Drosophila melanogaster: one gene and its partner. The protein of the gene in region 1 purifies or fractionates together with the protein of each later gene. This does not show direct contact. Each region holds a gene or a part of one and is shown on either strand. Other genes may lie near its edges.

Evidence for each region.
Region 2: the proteins of GstZ1 (region 1) and tmod purify together in Drosophila melanogaster (affinity purification with mass spectrometry, with the first as the bait; one large-scale study listed by BioGRID). This does not show direct contact.

Annotation. Positions count from the first base shown.
Region 1 is NT_033777.3:9,454,762-9,458,117, reverse strand, and holds GstZ1 (glutathione S transferase Z1), read left to right. Parts: upstream 1-1,571; 5' UTR 1,572-1,672; coding exon 1,673-1,952; intron 1,953-2,006; coding exon 2,007-2,337; intron 2,338-2,400; coding exon 2,401-2,530; 3' UTR 2,531-2,601; downstream 2,602-3,356. Other genes in the region: GstZ2 (glutathione S transferase Z2), read left to right, coding at 1-122. UniProt on the Drosophila melanogaster protein: Catalyzes the glutathione dependent oxygenation of dichloroacetic acid to glyoxylic acid in vitro. Possesses low glutathione thioltransferase activity toward 4-hydroxynonenal (4-HNE).
Region 2 is NT_033777.3:30,530,803-30,535,983, forward strand, and holds the start of tmod (tropomodulin), read left to right. Parts: upstream 1-2,034; 5' UTR 2,035-2,180; exon of another isoform or gene 2,181-2,293; 5' UTR 2,294-2,483; coding exon 2,484-2,705; intron 2,706-5,181.

The DNA of each region.
Region 1 (3,356 bases):
TCGACTTGCGACCGTATCCCATAATTCTGCGCATCGATCGCGAACTGGAGAGCAATCCGGCATTCCGGGCGGCCCATCCCTCCAATCAACCGGACTGTCCGCCGGAGCTGCCCAACAAATAGAATTTTCCGACCCCAACTGCAAAGCGCCGTAAGACGAAAAAGTGAATTGCAGTTCGTAAACCAGGCACAAGACAAACTAAGAACTTAAATCTGATCGGTGGGCACGTGGATGGCGATGGCGATGGAGAATGGATTGGATAGGATGGCAAAGCTGGCGAGGATTCCATTAAGCAGAAACAGTCGGATGTGATTTAAGAAATTGCTAACAGCATTTAAATATGCATAAATGCATAAAAATACTATCGATAACATAACGAAATTCCTCACACGAAATTCAAACGCAAACGCAAACGCAAAATTCTCAGAAAACGGAACAAAAAATCGTATAATAAATTCTTCAAATTCCCTTAGTTTGTCATTGTGAATATGATCTAAAAGATGAACTCATATATATTAAATGTAACTTATTTTTATGCATTTTATTTAGGCTAACAAATCATAACAAATTCAAGGAGAACTCACGACGAAAAGCAAAATTCAATTCAGGGATTTAAAAAAAAAAAACCAAAACCAAATTTAGAAACACTATCGAAGATTTACAAGTATAAACGATGTATGTATGTATGTATGTATAAGTACTTCATGTCAAAGTCAAAGGGCAGATGCTAAACAAATCGTTCACAAAGTACAAAACGTCAGTCAACCAATAAGTAAACTAAAGCAAGCTACATATACACTAAATCGAATAAATCCTAAGTAATTTATGTGAACTAAGCTAAAGAATCGATCACCTATTCGATGGTTCTGGATTTCGTAATGCCTCTTTGATACCACGAAAGCATAACTAACTAACGAAGTATTTCCCTAAATCCAATGCACATAGACGAAATACAAAGCGAACCGATTAAGTGCACAGTAATTTTATTAGCAAGTTGATGTAACTTGGACCGTGTGAGTCTCCTCACAACCCCGTACGAGTAGTTATAAACATAAGCCTGCCGATGCCAAGTACATACACACAAACACCCATACTTACTATCCTGCACGACAGTACAACGCACGAGTCGAAGAACGAACGCCAATAGTCATCATCATACAAACATACATATAGGTCGAGCTGCGCATTTTCGCACACCAATCGAATCGAATACCAAATTGAATACGAACCAACTAATATGCATAATTTCCGAAATATTGTAACAGTTCCATATACTATAAATAAATAAAACTTCAAACTAAGCTGAAATATTGCTCAACAAATGTACTTTTAATATATCAAAAGCAGCACGAAAAAGAGTAGGCAAATCACAGATATCTATCATTACTTGAAGAAATATAAAAAACTCATAAAATTGCATTACACCTATAGGATCTTTATCATAAAGTACCCTTGTGCCATTTACTTGAATATATTACGAAAATAATTGCCTACTCTTGGGAGCAACCTATAAATGTAGGGAACCTATCGATAGTTCGGCACAGCATTCTCCAATCAGAACAGCTGAGTATTCTTATTGCTATCAGTTAGCAAAAGTAAACCGGTTGTTTTTCTCACTATAAGTTCTGTTACTTAATAGAAGGGTTCTCTTAAAGAATATATATTTACATATATGGCTTCTGCTACCCAATTGACCCACAGAGGTATCCATTTGGCCGGACTGTACAGATCTTCTTGGTCTAAGCCCTTGTTCCGACATTTGGCAACAAAGCCTATACTGTATTCCTATTGGCCTAGTTCGTGTTCTTGGAGAGTTCGCGTTGCGCTGGCAATAAAGAAGATTGATTATGACATTAAGCCGACTTCTTTGCTAAAAACAGTTAGCGGACATGCCTATACGGATGAATATAGGGAAGTCAATCCGATGCAAAAGGTTCCCTCGTTGAAGATTGGTAAGTGAAGCGAGCAATTTGAGTATTTCAAATCTATGAGTTTTGCGGCATTAGATGGCCATACCTTGTGCGACTCGGTGGCTATTATCCACTACCTGGAGGAAACTCGACCTCAGCCAGCACTTCTGCCCCAAGATCCGGTTAAAAGAGCAAAGATCCGTGAAATTGTGGAGCTCATTTGCTCGGGCATCCAGCCACTGCAAAATGTATCTGTCCTAGATCATATAGGCAAGGATCAGAGTCTGCAATGGGCACAACACTGGATTTCTCGAGGATTTCAGGGTCTCGAAAAGGTTCTTTCCCATTCGGCGGGCAAATTCTGTGTGGGAGATGAGCTCAGCATGGCTGATATTTGCCTGGTACCTCAGGTGCGCAATGCCAGGAGGTAAGAAACATTAATTTATTTAAATTTAACTGGATACTGATTTATTTTAAAACTCCTAACCAGATACAAAGCTGACCTGACCCCATATCCCACCATAGTACGCTTGAATCAGGAACTACAAGAACTTGATGTCTTCAAAGCCACTCATCCCAGTACCCAGCCAGATTGTCCACCTGAATTCGCAAAAAAATAATCAAAACTTAAGATATATTACATTGCATTTATAAAGATGCTTGATATTAAATGGATTTCCAAAGCACCCAGCACAAGTCGAAGTGAAAGCTCATTGAATTATAATATAATTTTTATTAGTTTTGTCATTTTTATATAATCGTTCTTAAATGTGTAGTGTGTAATTCACGTAATTCATTTATGTACCGTCCTAACTTTGCATTTCTAATTTTCCATCCTGGATGCGGATCGTTATAATGTTTCTGTGTATGTAGTATGCACTTATTGGCTTTCCTGGTTGGAGTGTTTCTCTGTGTTTGTGTGTCTGCGTGTGTATATATGTATTCAACAAATTTTCTATAAATACTATTACATACATACAGATGCGCCAACGCATTACATAACATAACCATTACATTCGATATACATGTATGTTCCGCACTGTACCTAACGTCGGTACCGATCCATCGCCTACCTAGCTTAGCTTTCATTTTATTATTGGCCGTTTAGCGCGCCATTACCGTAAAGTTTTAGTCGCAATCTGCATTATAATCTTGTTCATTTTCTTATTAATTTTCTTTTTCATTTTCGTTTTCATTTTTTTGTTCGAGTATGATTCACTTGGGGTTATATAGCTATGCATATATATGTATGTAGAGAGGAGTAACTGTTTGCATACTTTTCGTTCGCAATTGTACAGAATTTCTTATCGTTTTGTTTAATTGCAAAAATTATGTTTTTCTCGATTTATTAAAACTTGAATGAGCTACTTTAAAGAATCTTCTTGTAGGGATACCTTTTGATTTAATTGTTTAAAGATTTCACTAGACTATTTTTCTGTTACTTGT
Region 2 (5,181 bases), about 21 Mb from region 1:
GCCCTGCCCCTGATCCCATGCCACATAATTGCATTTGCTCATCAGAGACACATCCATTGGATGTATCTATATTCAGGCATTTGTCCCGCATCATGTCGCTGCGTTTGCCGAGCTGAAAAGACATTTTCGAGAATTAATTTTAGAATATTCCGTCTTGCGTGTGCTTGGCGCTTTGTTTACACAGCGCTGCGGGGAAAACCGGGGGTCCGTTCGAAACACTTGTCTTTCATATATCTTGTGCAGTCCGCGATGCGATACAGGAAGTCCGCACATCGCTGTCAAAACTAAAGCCCCCAAATGCCAGCAATTGAAAGCGTTCGCTAATCAAAAATCTAAATCGGAATCAGCACAAAATCAGAAATCGGACAGAAGGCAGAAGGTGAAATCACTTGAGATGGGCATCTTCCGACAGATGCCCCTGCCACAAGGCACCCTGTACAGGCCCCGCTGGCTGTGATGCACTGCCTCCACTCGCACATCGAACGCTGGCCACGGCAAAGGAAAAAGGGAAAAAAACGAACGGAAAATAAAGGAAAAAAAAAGAAAAGCGCATGAAAAAGGAAAAGACGGCGTCAAATGCCGCCCGGCCAAATGGCCAGCCGGATCAGCCCAATGTATTCCACCCGATTCAGAGTTGTTTGCCCACAGAGGGTATCGATGAGATGTCTGGGCTTATTGGAAAAAAAATGTTGGAAAAAGGGAAATGCAACACGGGCTTATGGGGATAGTAAGTCCCTCTGATAGAGTGGACAAATTGGTTTGTAAATTAATTTTAAAATCTATCTAAATTCAAGTTTATAAGATATTTTTACTTCTTGAATAAACATTCTATAATTCTTATTGTAAAACTCTATTCTTACTATCAAAATCTCTTTTTTAGGTATTCCAAAGTCGGAAGATATCACTATCTTCATCCTTGGCTGCCTCTTTTTTCTGTCTATTGTTAAATCCACCCAAAATAGCTCCACGCACATTGACGAGAAGAGTGCGTGGGTCTTTGACGGGGAGTATGGAGAGTAGGGGGTATGCGGAGTAAGGGGAGTACAGACCATATGAGATGGCGAATGAGGAGTGTTGGCACTTCACGGCGGAGTTTCACATTCTGACGGGCCTCAGACGTCCGGCAGCCGCACTAATTGCATTCGCCTGGTCAAACGAAGAAATTGCAACAGGCGGACAATTAGCGAGCGAACTCATTCGCATTCAAATTTCACATTTGCTCAAAGAAAGAACAGAAATACTGCACTCAGAAAAATGGTTAACTCACTTCTTACTTCATTGCAGATATTTTGATATTTTATAGAACTCTGGAGTTCAATTTCGGAAGGATTAGGATACATGTGGGATCACAGCCTTGTACTTTTACTTTTTAACATACGAAATATTGTCAGATAGTTTCCTCTTTTTACCAAATAAAGCTTTCTAAATGTAAATCCAATTTGGTAGGATTTTCTCTCAGTGTAGAGGCACACAGTGTAGAAAAGATCGGAACGAAGGCAACAAAAAACTTTTGAAACGCGACGAAGATCAACGTTCAAAATTGAGCAGACGTCAGCAGCGGCAGCAGATCGGCAGAGAACTGAGAGTGAGAGTGGAGGAGAGAGTGTGGAGAATTGCTGGCGCTCTCCCGAGCGCTGGGGGTCTCGGGCCGTCCCGCTCGCACCTGCGGCTAACACATTGGGGGCCTCTGCCCCACTAGACCCTCCGGAACTCAGACCGTCTCGCTCTGCTCTCCGGCGTCGGTTCCGGTGGCAGACGGCAGAAGATTCTAACTAGAAGAATTAGAAGAAGCTAGGACGGAGGCAGCAAGTAGAAGACCCGTGATCGTGTAATTCGCCTCGTGTGCGTTCCGTTGTTCCGTAATTATTCCGGATTTGTTTTCGAAACAGGCTGAAGTGATGTGATGGGATTTCGATAGCTCCATCTTTCAACTTGTTTCGCTTTATCCGCCTTTTGTCACCACGGCTCTACGTTATTCCGTTGTCCCATTGTTCCGTTCTTCCGTAGTCCCATTGTTCCGTAATTCTCCGTTCTCCGTTGTTGTCGCGCCTTTCGTGGCCGCTGGTCGACGTTACGTTTTTACAGTTCGATAATCGAGCACTTCCCGAGAGGATCGAAGGCTCCAGGCATCTGCGTAAACCACGAAGGATCTACAGTACCTCTAAATATACCGCCCTTAGGTCGAAAACAAGTTACTAAAAAACCAGCGCGCCGTGAAATTCCTCTTGTTTATATAATAACCAGCGGCTGCCAAAAGCCCAGCGGAATATACAAAAAATATTCATTTTTCTAGCTCTGGTCGTTTGTATTTTTCAGGCTAAAAGAAAGAAAATAAGAAAGAAGAAAACCCAAGCAATTCTGCGTGTTATGTGTTATCGTTGTGATCAGTGATCCAGTGATCAAGTGAAAGTGAACACAAGAACGTGAGAGAAAGCCAAGTGAATCAGCTCGACTCCAATCGAAAAGGATATAAATCAGAGACAATGTCGGACATTGAGGATGTTTTCGGTGGCTCCGCCGAGGAGACCAAGCCCGAACCCGATGCCCAGAGCAAAACCAGCGTGGTCACCGAGCACACCGAGGAGGTGATTCCCGGCGAGACCGAGAAAATGGTAACGGAGACCATCGATGAGGATGGCGATGTCGTGGAGGAAACCACCGAAGTTACCCGCAAAACGGTGAAGCGCACCATGAAGATCACTGAGGTGAGTGAACTCTGACCCATGGATCCATCTAATAGCCGCCATTATCCATTAACTAACTTATTGTGCGTGTGCTGAGTACAAACATAATTCGAATAGCCATGAAAATCAATATGTATTCTGAATTTGAAAACCGTTCAAGAAGCTATAAAAATTCGGGAACTTGGGAAATTCTTAATGGAAACTATTTCCAAAAGCTTTAATGTTAAGTGCATATTCGCAATCAACTTAAAGAACAGTTCGTTAAAATTTATTAAGCATGGAAATTTTTATAAAAATATTTTCGATTCAAGTATTGTTTACCAAGCTTTTGGTGGGGGGATATATGCCGCAAAACAACATCTTGTTTTTGCATTGAATTTATATAAAAACATCGCATATTTTTGCGAAAGTAAATGACATTCCATTTTACATATTTCCGAAAATATTCTTACGGAACTACAAGTTTAAACCAAAGAATCCGCCCAAAACTGAATGATTTCCTCAATAGTTGGCCACCCCCGATCGTTTGGCTTATGAAAGACTATAAATCATTATTCTCATATTCTGAAGGGATCTTCTGCCGTACTGGTCTCCTCGCTTGTGAAATTGGCCAAAACATGGCGAACTCTGGCTATACATTATTTATACCAAGTGCCATTTCTCTATGTGCGTCTTAGCGAATTGTTTATACGGTCCCACGAATATTATAAATCTTCCCATACATTATACATCACACACACCGCGGCACAGATATAGACGGACATATAGGCGATTATATACACATATACATATGTATGTATATGTTCGGCCACACTTTCTATAGGCGACGTTGCCGGGGGAAAGCCAACAAAAAATACAAATTTTGCAGCTGTTTGATTTCGGCGCAAATTATCACAAAAGATTTCAAATGGCATGGCGTATAAAAAAAGCTGGGAATTAAATTATTATTAAGCAGAAATCACTTAAATACTCGATGCCGAGCTATGCCAAAAAATCCCCACACTCGAAGAGAAATGGCAAAAAAATTAAATGCAATAAATTCTGTGCCGCCAACAAATGCAGAGGCAAAAAAACAAGTATCAGACCAAAAAAAAAAAAAAACAAAAAAAACATCGAGAAGAAGGCGAAACAAAAAATAAATATTGAGGTTTCCGTGTCTTGCGGTCTGGCGCGCACTGGGCGAAAGTTGGGTGGTGCCGCATGGGGCGGGTGGTGCAAGTGGTGGGGCAGCAATTAATTGCCACAAATCGTTGCACAAAATTACAAATTGCATTTCCGGCTTGGCGCGGCGGCCACGCACTTCCACCCGTATTCCCCACTACCGCTACCCCACCCCAAACCCCGCAGAAAGTCTTCGATTTTCCCGCCGCTGTTTTACGACTGTCTGGCCCCCCTCGCCCCTCGCCGGGCGAAAAGCAAAACACCGCCCGTTTTTCTTTCGTCGAGTTTTATGGCAGCCAAATTAAATTTGCATTGCAATTTACTTCTTTTTGGGTCGGCCTCTCGGCCTTTTCTCGTTTTTCCGTTTTGCCGTTTTTATGGGCCCGAAATGGAAATGAAAACGCATGAGCTCAGCCAGCCGGAGTCCTGCGAATGGGGCAGGGATAAGGATGTGCTGCTGCCAGGGCATATGTTGCCATATACACAAAACAGGATCGTATGTGCCTCGCTCCGAGCAGCTTGCCGAACTAATTGCGCTGCCAAAGTCCGGTTTCCTTGCCGAAGCTCATGAACTGCTGAACTGCTGAACTGCCCAAGCCAGCTTTCCCCGCTCACTTTCTCCCGGCGGCATTTCCTGGGCGAAAGCGGCTAATGAGTCACGTACCGTTTTTGTCATTTTTATGCGCTTAACAGGTCAAAGTTCCAGCCGCAGGGATACGTGACCAAAGTCGAGTTTGAGTTGAAAATGCAAAATTAGTTAAATAAAGTCGGAGATACGCCGGGCACTTTCTCCACTCCCCATCCCCACTGCCTTTCGTTATCCTTAATTCGAGGCGAAGCGGAAAACTGTCATAAATTTCACAGTTGATTTCACCGTTGTTTCCTGATTTGATTAGCTCATTAAACGACGGTAATTTGTGCGGTGCGGGGTATGGTTCAAGCCTCTGTGTATTTGCTTATAAACTAAACAATAAATATTAAAGAGAATGACTAAATTGAATAAAATATTCATAGAATATTCATGATTGATTAGTTTCAACAAAATCGAACTCTCAATCTATTGTCACTGAAAATTCAACATCAAATACGCCCAATTTGCGATTATTAAATTATCTGATTATGCGCCATTTAATGCAAACATTATGGAAATGCACCACTATTTAATAAACACCCAAACGAGCGACTTTGCGGTCGGAAAGTTCGGCCATATTATTCCTGCCGACTGGAATGTAGTTAAGCAAATCTTTGCTCAGCTCCGCCGTTCCAATCAAATGGGGCATGCTAATTTGTGCAACAAGCCGTAAACTCACATAACCGGACACCACATCCATATTAC